Linked DNA regions of Arabidopsis thaliana. The protein of the gene in region 1 purifies or fractionates together with the protein of each later gene. This does not show direct contact. Each region holds a gene or a part of one and is shown on either strand. Other genes may lie near its edges. The genes, in order: CYCA1;1 and BON2.

Region 1 (5,369 bases):
TTTGTAAAACTTCATCTAGAAGATGGTGAAAGGTATAAGAGCATCTCCAACTATAACATCATTTTGGTGTTGAAATAACAATATGTGTAATGTAAATTTAGCACTAAAGCTTTATTCTTCTTCAACCACAACACAAAATATCACACTAAAAATACTATTCTCACTATTATATTGTTAAATTGAACATTTTCTTAGTTAATATTTTAAAATTATCAATTAATGTAAAATTATAATCCAAAAATTTACATACTAAAAATAAATTACATCATACTAATTCTAACGACAACAAATGTTCAATTAACATTTCAAAATTCAATATGAGCTTCTCGATCTTAATTTGTCTATGTCGAGCTAAAAAACTGTTTTAATGGTTGATTGAAATTTGTTATGTATCTTCAATTAAAATTTTTATATTAATTTTAATATTTTCTACAAATTAAGATTTCATATAATTAAAATTTTAAATACAAAAATAGTTTTGATACATTATGTTTACTTCAAAACTTAATTAGATTGTTAAATAACAATACAAATCATATTTTATATACTATATATAACTAAATATACTATTTTAATAAAATTAAAATAAATAATAATATTAATTCAATTTTTGTTATTGTTATAGTAGCACACAAATATAGTGATTTATTATAAATAAAAAAAGAATCATACTATAATAGTGCAAAATATACACTTTGGTTGGAGACAGAAAGTTAATATTACCACCTCCAAATAACGTTTTGCCGTTCCATTGTACATCTTAAGACCATGTCCAATGTGACGGCAAAACGTTATCTTGACATGGGGATGTTTACTTTTTGTCTCCAACCAAACGCTATACTTTGCACTATTATGGTGTGATTCCATTTTCTTGTACAGTAAATCACTATATTTGGTGTATTACTGTAGCGACATCAAACATTTAAGTATCAATTTTTATTTTATTTTAATATGATTGTATATTAAAATAGCTGATACATAATAAAAATTCAACTTAACATTCAAAACATAAAATTACAAAACTAAAGAAAGGTTTTAAATTTAAACATCTTTGGAATTTGATGAATGATATGTGAGTATTAGTATTCTTGTAGTATTTTAATTTGTGTAATATTATGTGTGAATGCAATTGTATTGTCATTGTGTTACTTTTTTGTAATTAATTTTGTTTAACATACTATTTTGTTGTGTAATATTTATTTTTAATACTGTGTAATATTTTAAAATTTTAGTTAATAGTATAATAATAGAAAATATTAGCTTTAGTGTGATATTTAGTTTTATGGTTGGAGAAGAAAAATATTTTAGTGTGAAAACTACACCAAATATAGTGTTATTTCAATACTAAAATGGTGTTATGGTTGGAGATGCCCTAAAGATAAACATGACGAGACACGAGATTTATTAATTTCTTGATCAACCATAACTTAATAACTTAATATTAATTTCACTTAATAATTTCCAATTAAGTGAATCTTTACTTCACCAAAAGTTCCTAACGAACTCTTATTTTCTAGCATCAATATTACCATGAACTAGCATCAATACTATCATGAAAAATTCCTACTTCCTATCCAACTCTTAATAACAATGCTAGTCTTAACAATATTCATCAAAAACTTGATATAGACCTTCTAACTTAGCCACGACTAGTATCGGTGAATACCAAAATTAATGTATTCATGAGAACTTGAGATTTCTCTAATGTATTCTTGTTACTAAACAAGTAACAACACTCAAGAAATATCATGATCAAATATTTTACTCATAAACTCCATATTTCACATTTTGAAAATTTTAAACAGCAAATCACATTGAATTTTCGTGGTAAAAGTATTTAAAATTGAAAAATAGCAGCTCCTGATTTCAATGTATAAATTTATCTTTATATGGTTTATGTCTCCAACTTATTTTAAAAAAGAGAGAAAGAGCACCCAAAAGGTGACCGTTTGAAATTCGAATTTATTTCCGTTTGAAATTCGAATTCAAAAAAAGTAAACCGAACCGAGTCTCGTTACTGACTGTCACACATTGTTTCCCTAAAAGCTAATTAACCCATACGTGGCGTAATATAACAGGTCAGTGATCAATACTAAATAACAGACATACACCTTTAAAATTCGTGCACGCTCCAAAACAAAATCTACACTTCAAAATCAACGGTCACGATCATTCCTCAAATTTCAAAAAATTATTTAACCTCACTTCCTTCGCTTTGTTTTTAAAACCTCTCTCTCTTTCTCTTTCTCTTTCGCCATTAAAACTCTGTTTCCTTTTTCAGAGATTCTCAGAGAAGATTCATTTTACCCTAAGAAAAAAAATGTCGAACATTCTTCAGAATCGGCGATCTTCGTTTTCCTCTTCGACGAAATCTTCATTAGCGAAGCGTCAAGCACCATCTTCATCGGAGAATTCTGTTAAACTTATGCCGGCGATGACGAAGAAACGAGCACCGTTAAGTAACATTACCAATCAAAAAATCGCCTCACGATTACAAAATTCTGATTCGGTGAGGTTCTTCAATTTCGCTATGAATTTTTCAAAATCTTTCGTTTCTGTGATCTATTTAGTTTGATTTGAAGATTCGCTTACTCTAATTCACTATAGATCCATTGTTTCTTCGCTTCATTTTTTGTTGTGGATTTGGTTTTTGTGATCAATTTTGAATATGGATTCATTGTTTCTTTGATTGAATCTATGAGATTGCTTATTGATTTTGAGTTTGATTTTGGTTTTGTATAGGTACATTGTTCAAACAAGTCAGCGAAATTGAAGATAGCACCAAGTGTTTGCGTTAATGCCAGTTTCTCTAGCAATCTGCAACAAAGCATAGTTCCTCACAAAGTTGCTTCTTCACCTAGCAAATCTGATGATGGCTCAGTATCAATGGACGAGACTAGGTCTTCAAGTGATTCCTACAAGAGTCCTCAAGTTGAGTATATCGAAAACGACGACGTTTCGGCTGTTGTTTCGATTGAGAGGAAAGCTTTGAGTAATCTGTTCATAACGCCGAATTCAGAAACAATTGGTACTACTTCTTACTAATGGTTCTCTATGACTTTGTTGTTTATATTGTTTTGGTATTGAATTGATTTGCTTGGTATTGCAGATAATTATTGTAGTAGAGATGTGTTATCTGATATGAAGAAAATGGATAAGAATCAGATTGTTAACATTGATAGTAACAATGGTGATCCTCAGCTTTGTGCTACGTTTGCTTGTGACATTTATAAGCATCTTCGTGCTTCTGAGGTGATAACTCTTAACCAGAATGTGATATTTTTAGCTTTATGTGTTTGCAAGTTTTCTGAATCTGTGTATCATCTATATGCTAGGCTAAGAAGCGACCTGATGTTGATTACATGGAGAGAGTTCAGAAAGATGTGAATTCGAGTATGCGTGGAATCTTAGTTGATTGGCTTATTGAGGTGAATGATAGTTATATTGAGAAAATGTGATGGCTTTTGTCACTCTTGTCGATGTTTTATTAAGGGTTTTTTCGGTTTCTTGTAGGTGTCTGAAGAGTATAGGCTTGTACCGGAGACGTTGTATTTGACTGTGAACTATATAGATAGGTATTTATCTGGGAATGTGATTAGTAGACAGAAACTTCAGTTGCTTGGTGTGGCTTGTATGATGATAGCAGCGAAATATGAAGAGATATGTGCTCCACAAGTTGAGGAGTTTTGTTACATTACTGATAATACATATCTCAAAGATGAAGTTCTTGATATGGAATCTGATGTTCTGAATTACTTGAAGTTTGAAATGACTGCACCAACTACGAAATGTTTTCTAAGGTTAGTGAGATGATTGCTTTACAAAACAGATCCTTCTCTTATCTCATACAATTCTGTACTAATTACTAACCAGTTGGATCGTACAACTTGAATTTTCAGACGCTTTGTTCGAGCTGCTCATGGTGTTCATGAAGCTCCATTGATGCAGCTAGAATGTATGGCTAACTACATTGCGGAATTATCGCTACTAGAGTACACTATGCTCTCTCATTCTCCTTCACTAGTAGCTGCTTCCGCCATTTTCTTGGCTAAGTACATTCTAGACCCAACAAGACGACCATGGGTATGTTTAAACAACCTTAAGACACTGTTTTACTCTTTATAAGAATCATGTAGTAAAATGTGTTTGTTGTTTGGTTGGATCAGAACTCGACGTTGCAACACTATACGCAATATAAAGCGATGGAGTTGAGAGGATGTGTGAAGGATCTTCAACGATTGTGTAGTACTGCTCACGGCTCTACACTACCTGCTGTTAGAGAGAAGTATAGTCAACACAAAGTAAGTTGTTGTGTTTATTTATTTGTGATAACAATTAAGAATGATGATTAAGTTGTTTTATGTGCTAATAACGATTGGATTTTTGTGTTTTTTTTTTGCAGTACAAGTTTGTGGCGAAGAAGTTTTGTCCATCCGTAATCCCACAAGAGTTCTTCAACAACAGCTAAAAATCCTTTAATTTAACTTTGTTCCAATGTTGTGTTGGATTTAATTGTTTGATTGTACATGATTTTGCTGTTGTTGGTCTATTTATAAAATTAGCTATCTACGATCTCACTTTGAAAACTTGTTAAGCTGATTTATTTTGGCTTCCTCTAGAAAGTGACGTAATTAGGTGATATGATTTGATTGGTAAAAGTGGGAAAAGTTATTATCAATCTGCTTAAATATGCAAACAAACGTGTTATGCAGATTTCATGGCTATTATTGATCAAGTGATAAATGAATTTGATAAATTACTGAATTCAATGTTCAATTTAAACATTCTTGAATTGCAATATTCTTGATTTCCGTAAGACATCAAATGTTTTAGGACAAATGATTTTTGTAATATTACAGAGCGACAAGAAACAGAACCTATTAATAAAATTGATTAACCCCGTTAATTTTGTTGTAACCTATATAAAATATGTATGTCTTTGAGAACGAACAATTAAATGCTTCAGCTTAGTCGGTAATGGAATGAATGAATGATACATCTGAGAGGTTCCGAGTTAATTTTTTTGTCCGTTGACTTAACGACGTGTCCAAAATGGTAAAGTCACAAAAATTATCTATTTAATTATAAAGTCAACAACAACTTTGGTATTTAAGTGATATTTCAAAATTTTATATGTTTTTTTTCCAAATTTGAAAGTTTGTGCTTTTTCGATATTTTTTCCAAACAATATTTCTCAGTTTTGGCTCTTTTGAGTTTTAATTAAAATCAAATGACAAAATTTTTTTTGTAGAAAACTATCTGACGGTGATCTATTTTTGAATTCGAGTTTTTCGATGTAACAATTTTTTTTGGGAGATCAATAAAACCTAACTTAAACTAAATTTGGTTGTAGACCAATTAATCTTGTG
Region 2 (5,944 bases), on another chromosome or scaffold:
TTTATAAGGTATAAGCTTTGTACCTTTTTATGATCAATTTGTGTAGATGATGTATCATTGTTCTTTAGAAAAAAAGGAAAAAAGCGTTTGGTTACAAGTTTAAAACCTTAACAGGCATTCAACGGTAAGAAATGGGAAAAGTTCAACAGCGAGAAGGTGGCATCGCTTGCATATGGTCGGATTCAGGGGAAATCAGCTCTTATTGCCCATTTCCAGAACTCAAGTTTGATGAACGAAGACAAACGTTGCAGGCCTATTCTCTTCCACACTGCTGGTCCAAATGCTGGTGATCAGGTAAGGAAGACAAGGGCTCAATTGATATCCTTATTCAAACTATAACCTCTTTCTGTTGCAAGTAATCATATCATCTGGTAGTTATGTATTCACTATAGCGTGACACACATAAATTAGGTTCATAGTTGGTCCTAATGAGAGAACCTATTTCCCTTTCAATTAGCTGTTTTTGATGAGAGATTACTGCATTTGTAAATGTGCAGGAACCATTTCCAATGGGTTCAAACATCCGGTCAAGACCAGGCAAGCATCGAACAAATAGCATCGAGAACTACACCAACTTTAGCAGTAGCTCTGATAACCGAGACGAACCTGCAAATGGGAACGACTCCATGTAACCGATAAGCCAGACAGTTTTCATGTCGTAAGCCAGACTAACCCTTTTAGGCGTCTTGTATCAGAGGTAAAAGAAAAGAGACCCAAAAGATTAACACAAGGTAAAATATATATATATCGTTGACAACCCCACAGCTCTGTAAATCCTTGGGGGTGTGGTAAATTACCTGAGAAAACTCATTTTGCAGAGGAGAAAGTTTTTGAAGTCTTGGTCCCTTTAAACTCCTTCAGGTTACTTCACAAGTTTTGTTGTATCACTAAACCTCCCAGAGAAAACCTTGCTTGATTTTTTTTTCTTTTTGCTTTCTAAGTTTTTATTTTTCTGTTTTACTTAAAAAATTGTTGGGTTGTGTCTACAAGGATCTTTTTCTTTGTACTTTGCATACAAATGTAACAACCTAGTACGATGTGTTCAGTTTCTTCGCCCGTGGCTTGGGACCATATAATATCATTTATGTAAACCCTTTTGAGGGCGAAGTTTTTGGCATTGCTTTCTTCTCTTTTGGTTTTTAGTGTTTCTTTGAATCTTTAGTCGGTCACTTTATAAGCTTCTGACACAGTCAGTTGTTTAAGGCTTCCTCTTGGAATAAATAATACTACTAAGACACTTGGTCTCTAAATTTTCGACTATCAGAATTCTTGGTTGGATACATTTTTGGCCCCTGAGAGTAAGTGGCCCATTTATGGCAGTGGAGGACCTCCTTGGCTCCTTCTCCAGTCCAGCTCTTGTATCCATCCATTATAAGGCTTTGGAAAGAAAGAAGCAACTGGGTTTGGTCTGCAACACATACTTGATGATTCTCTTGGATAAGGAACCGATCTCATGAACTATATTCTATAATACTATATAGTTATTCTTGTTATATTTATAGAAACAAAAAGTTACTATATATGTAGTCCAGTAGTAATTATGCTTTTGAAAAAGTTTTGTTAGCCTTTCTGGTGGCGAAATCTTTTTTAATTGGTCATTACGTAAAATTGGTGTGTCTTATTATTCACGTCTCCCTCTAAAAGATGCGTTCTCTCTTTCTTTGTTCCTATTTCAATTACAGTCACACCGCATTATAAAATATATTTTTTTTAAAAATACTTTTATTCCCATAGAACTATAAACAAAATTATCTCTTAAACGTCGGCTTAATTCAAAAATCTGATACTAAGACAATTTTCCGATGTGGACCAAAATATATACAAGTAGACCGGTTGTAGTAAATATATTCACGTGATCTTACAGCCAATTTAATACATATGGACCATCTAGTTTTCCACTAATCAAACATAAACCTACACTAATTAATTTGGGGAATACTTAATTCTTTATGTTGTCAATAATTTCAAAACAACAATAAAAGGAAATTAAATGGAGTCAAGACAGATCGTCGACTTGGAAAAACAAAGGTGGGTCCCATCTAATTCACTGTCCTGATTTTTCCTCTTCTTTCCTTGTTCGTCTCCCCCCAATCTCCTCCTCCTCTTTTTTTGTTCTGAAGAGACTCTCGCCGTCTAATGGGAAGCTGTTGGTCTGATGGCTCTTACGCTGGTGGAGGAATGGTCGGTGTTGGTGGTGGGGCTAATTCCTCCGCCGCCACTCCTAACGACGCCGTTGACTACTATCTCAAGTCTCGTGGCTACAATGGCCTCTTTTCTCAGATCGAGGTCTGTTTCTTCCCTTTTCCCTTCTTCAAGACTTGAAATTTTTAGTTTCACTCATCTTTTTTTTCTTTGTTCGCAGTTATCTTTCTCTGCTTCCAATTTGCGAGACCGGGACGTGATTTCAAAGGTTCGTTTTTTTCTTCCAGAAAACTGATATTCCTGGAGCCAATTAAGTGTTATAGGTTTGATTCAAGGATAGTGTATATAAGCTTATATCATTACTTTGGTTGTTATATCTCAGAGTGATGCAATGGTGGTTGTTTATACAAAAGGAAGAGATGGAACACTTGCTGAATTGTTTCGTAGTGAAGTTGTTTTGAATTCTTTGAATCCTAAATGGATTAAGAATTTTACTATTGGTTATCAGTTCGAGATTGTGCAAACATTGCTGTAAGTGAAGTTCCTTGAAACCTCGGTTATATGTGTGAAAAACTTGAGGAAAAGGAATCAACTTTAACACCTTTTGCTGCACAGGTTTCGTGTCTATGATATTGACACTCAGTTTCAAAATTCTAAGGAGGAGGTATCTGCCAAAATTTTTCATCTTTTCGTTTGTCACTAGGTAGTCTTAATATAAGTTACACTTTTTTTTTAATGTTTTCAGTTGCTTAAGCTCGACGAACAGCAATTTCTCGGTGAGGCAACATGTACATTGTCCGAGGTATGCCAACCTCTCTATTACATCATTTTTAGTGTAAGGAAGAGAAGATAAACTTGCTATAGATTAGTTTGATTTAGATGTTGTGTTGACTGTGCAGGTGGTTACCAAATCAAATAGGACGATTGCTTTAGAACTTATGCGTAAAGAAGGTGTTGCTGCACAGACTCAGCCACAACATAATGGAAAGCTTATTGTTCATGCTGAGGAGTCTTTAGCTTCTAAGACCAATACAGAGATTGTATTTAGGGGGTTGAATTTGGAATCAAAGGATACTTTCTCTAAAAGTGTAAGCTATACTCTTTGACCAGTTTATCTCAGTATACTTCAGACATGAATATAACACTGTTGTTGTTCATGCTCAGGACCCGTTTTTGGTGATATCTAAGATTGTAGAGCACGGGACTCCAATCCCGGTCTCTAAAACAGAAGTTTTAAAGAATGATCCCAATCCACTTTGGAAACCAGTCTCTCTAAGTGTTCAACAAGTGGGGAGTAAGGTAAACCAACCAAAGGGGTTTATTATATCTGAGTTTTGTCTGACCAGGAAGATGTATTAGTTTCTCTTTTGTAATCTTGCAGGACAGCCCACTGGTAATAGAGTGCTTAGACTTCAATGGCAATGGCAATCACGATCTGATAGGGTTAGTCACAAAATCTCAGTTCCTTGCATTCTTTTTTGGTTGAGATATGAAAATGATTTGCTGAAGCTGAGATGATTCTTGTATCTTATTGGTTTTGCCAGAAAAGTTCAGAAATCACTGTCAGACTTAGAAAAGCTTCATTTGGCTGGCCAAGGAATCAATTTAGCCTTACCTACTGGTGTTGGACATAAACATGAAGATAGGGTATAGACCTTCAACAACAAGAGGTTTTTACACAATTTAAAATGCGAGAATTCTGATAACATTTAGCATTATTTCAGGTATTAAAGAGCCAGCTTTTCGTTGACAAGTTTACTGAAACCGTCCAGCATACATTCCTAGAATACTTGGCTTCTGGATTTGAATTGAACTTCATGGTTGCAATTGATTTCACAGGTAAAAAGATCTGAAAAGTGCAGAGTTTTTCTAGACTCTCTCTCTCTCTCTTTAAACTAATCCAATTTGTCCCTTCTTCCATCAGCTTCAAATGGAAATCCTCGCCTGCCAGATTCCTTGCATTACATTGATCCTACAGGACGATTAAATGCCTACCAGAGAGTAAGAACTCGATCTATTCAAGTTAATTTGCAGAAGCTGGTGACTGTGTGTGATCTTTCTTCTTTCTATTCAGGCAATAGTTGAAGTTGGAGAAGTGTTGCAGTTCTATGACTCGGACAAACGCTTTCCCGCATGGGGTTTTGGAGCTCGTCCAATCGACATCCCGGTCTCACATTGCTTTAACCTCAACGGAAGCAGTACTTATTGCGAGGTCTTGCAACAAATCCTACTCACATTGAACTAACTTTTGTATCAAAATTTCTCAATTAATCTTTGTTATTTGATTGTTTCTCAGGTAGACGGAATTCAAGGAATCATGAATGCCTACAATGGCGCTCTCTTCAATGTCTCTTTTGCAGGACCTACTCTATTTGGTCCTGTAATCAACGCTGCTGCAACAATCGCAAGCGATTCACTCGCTCAAAGTGCAAAGAAATATTACGTCTTGTTAATAATCACAGTGAGTTTATACACAACAAGACGTGTGATTTTCCTCTGATTCTTGTGTTTTTATCTATATGAAAATACCATGTCGGTTTTTTTGTAGGATGGAGTAATAACAGATCTTCAAGAAACGAGAGACTCAATTGTCAGTGCATCGGATCTCCCATTATCAATCCTCATCGTTGGAGTCGGAGGAGCTGACTATAAAGAAATGGAGGTTCTTAAACAAAAACGTTATGCTTAACTTCATTTGAAAAACTTCTTGAAATAGATTCTTACAAGGTTTATGTATTGGTTGTTTGTATAGGTACTAGATGGAGATAAAGGAGAGAAATTAGAGAGCTCCAGTGGTCGAATAGCATCGCGCGATATCGTCCAGTTTGTTGCATTACGAGACATACAATGTGAGTCTCGTGTTTCTTGATTTGTCAGGCAGAGTTTTGGTCTCTGATCATTGTGGTTGTTGTTGTTGTTGTTGCAGATGGAGAGGTCTCAGTGGTAGAAGCACTTCTAGCAGAATTGCCAACACAATTTTTGACGTATATGAGAAACCGTAATATTACTCCCACCACCACTACTCCATCTTCTACTTGATCCACACTCTCAACACTGTACATACATCAGTCAGTCACAGCTATAAACGCTGTCGTCTTATCTTGGCTTTTATTTTTGTTTTTTTCGATTTTATATTGTCTGGAATTTTTCCGTTTTCCAGTATTCCACGTCAAATTATATCTCATCACTCTTCATTATTATATTTGTTGTCAAAAACATAATTTATTATATATGCCAAATTATTAGTTGGTTTGGGCGTATTCACATAGATATGTACTGTTTCAACGGTCAACATATATAGTTGTTGACTTTCTTAATTTGGTTGGGATTTAGGTGGACTTTCTAAGTCTAACTTTTATTAAACGTGACCGTTGATTATTCTTTACCGTACTTGTCGCTGAAACAGATACTGTCTATTACAGCAACAAAACGAGACCTTAAAATATAAATATTCTATTATATAGTATCTATTTTTAATCTCATAATACTAAATCTGAAATTTTGTTTATATATACGTATTGTGTTATAATTATCATAAAATTGAAAGTAAATTTTTTAAAAAAGTTGTCAAGCCGTTTTATGCAAAAAAGATTTTTTTTTTAAAAAAAAAATTTACATTATGTGACGTCGTTAAACTCATTTTCCCTGCTTGGCAAATTCACAAAATGTTGTTTCTTCGTTCTCGTCAACAAATCTGAAAATACCTACACATGCCATGTGTATATCCTGTTTTAAAGTTTAATTTTTTCATTTAAATTCAAATTCATTGACATGTCGTTGTAAGATACTCTCAACCTTTTTT

What was found.
Region 2: the proteins of CYCA1;1 (region 1) and BON2 purify together in Arabidopsis thaliana (affinity purification with mass spectrometry, with the first as the bait; one large-scale study listed by BioGRID). This does not show direct contact.

The regions. Positions count from the first base shown.
Region 1 is NC_003070.9:16,774,134-16,779,502, reverse strand, and holds CYCA1;1 (Cyclin A1;1), read left to right. Parts: upstream 1-2,150; 5' UTR 2,151-2,320; coding exon 2,321-2,509; intron 2,510-2,742; coding exon 2,743-3,028; intron 3,029-3,109; coding exon 3,110-3,252; intron 3,253-3,335; coding exon 3,336-3,428; intron 3,429-3,513; coding exon 3,514-3,800; intron 3,801-3,899; coding exon 3,900-4,083; intron 4,084-4,166; coding exon 4,167-4,301; intron 4,302-4,402; coding exon 4,403-4,468; 3' UTR 4,469-4,738; downstream 4,739-5,369.
Region 2 is NC_003076.8:2,297,860-2,303,803, forward strand, and holds BON2 (Calcium-dependent phospholipid-binding Copine family protein), read left to right. Parts: upstream 1-1,865; 5' UTR 1,866-2,136; coding exon 2,137-2,286; intron 2,287-2,362; coding exon 2,363-2,410; intron 2,411-2,524; coding exon 2,525-2,673; intron 2,674-2,757; coding exon 2,758-2,806; intron 2,807-2,887; coding exon 2,888-2,944; intron 2,945-3,041; coding exon 3,042-3,230; intron 3,231-3,306; coding exon 3,307-3,441; intron 3,442-3,523; coding exon 3,524-3,585; intron 3,586-3,686; coding exon 3,687-3,789; intron 3,790-3,866; coding exon 3,867-3,981; intron 3,982-4,066; coding exon 4,067-4,143; intron 4,144-4,216; coding exon 4,217-4,354; intron 4,355-4,438; coding exon 4,439-4,603; intron 4,604-4,690; coding exon 4,691-4,804; intron 4,805-4,894; coding exon 4,895-4,991; intron 4,992-5,068; coding exon 5,069-5,181; 3' UTR 5,182-5,409; downstream 5,410-5,944. Other genes in the region: ML4 (MEI2-like 4), read left to right, coding at 1-8, 115-294, 498-632. UniProt on the Arabidopsis thaliana protein: Negative regulator of cell death and defense responses. May repress a number of R genes and may have effects in promoting growth and development. May function in membrane trafficking and in fusion of vesicles with plasma membrane.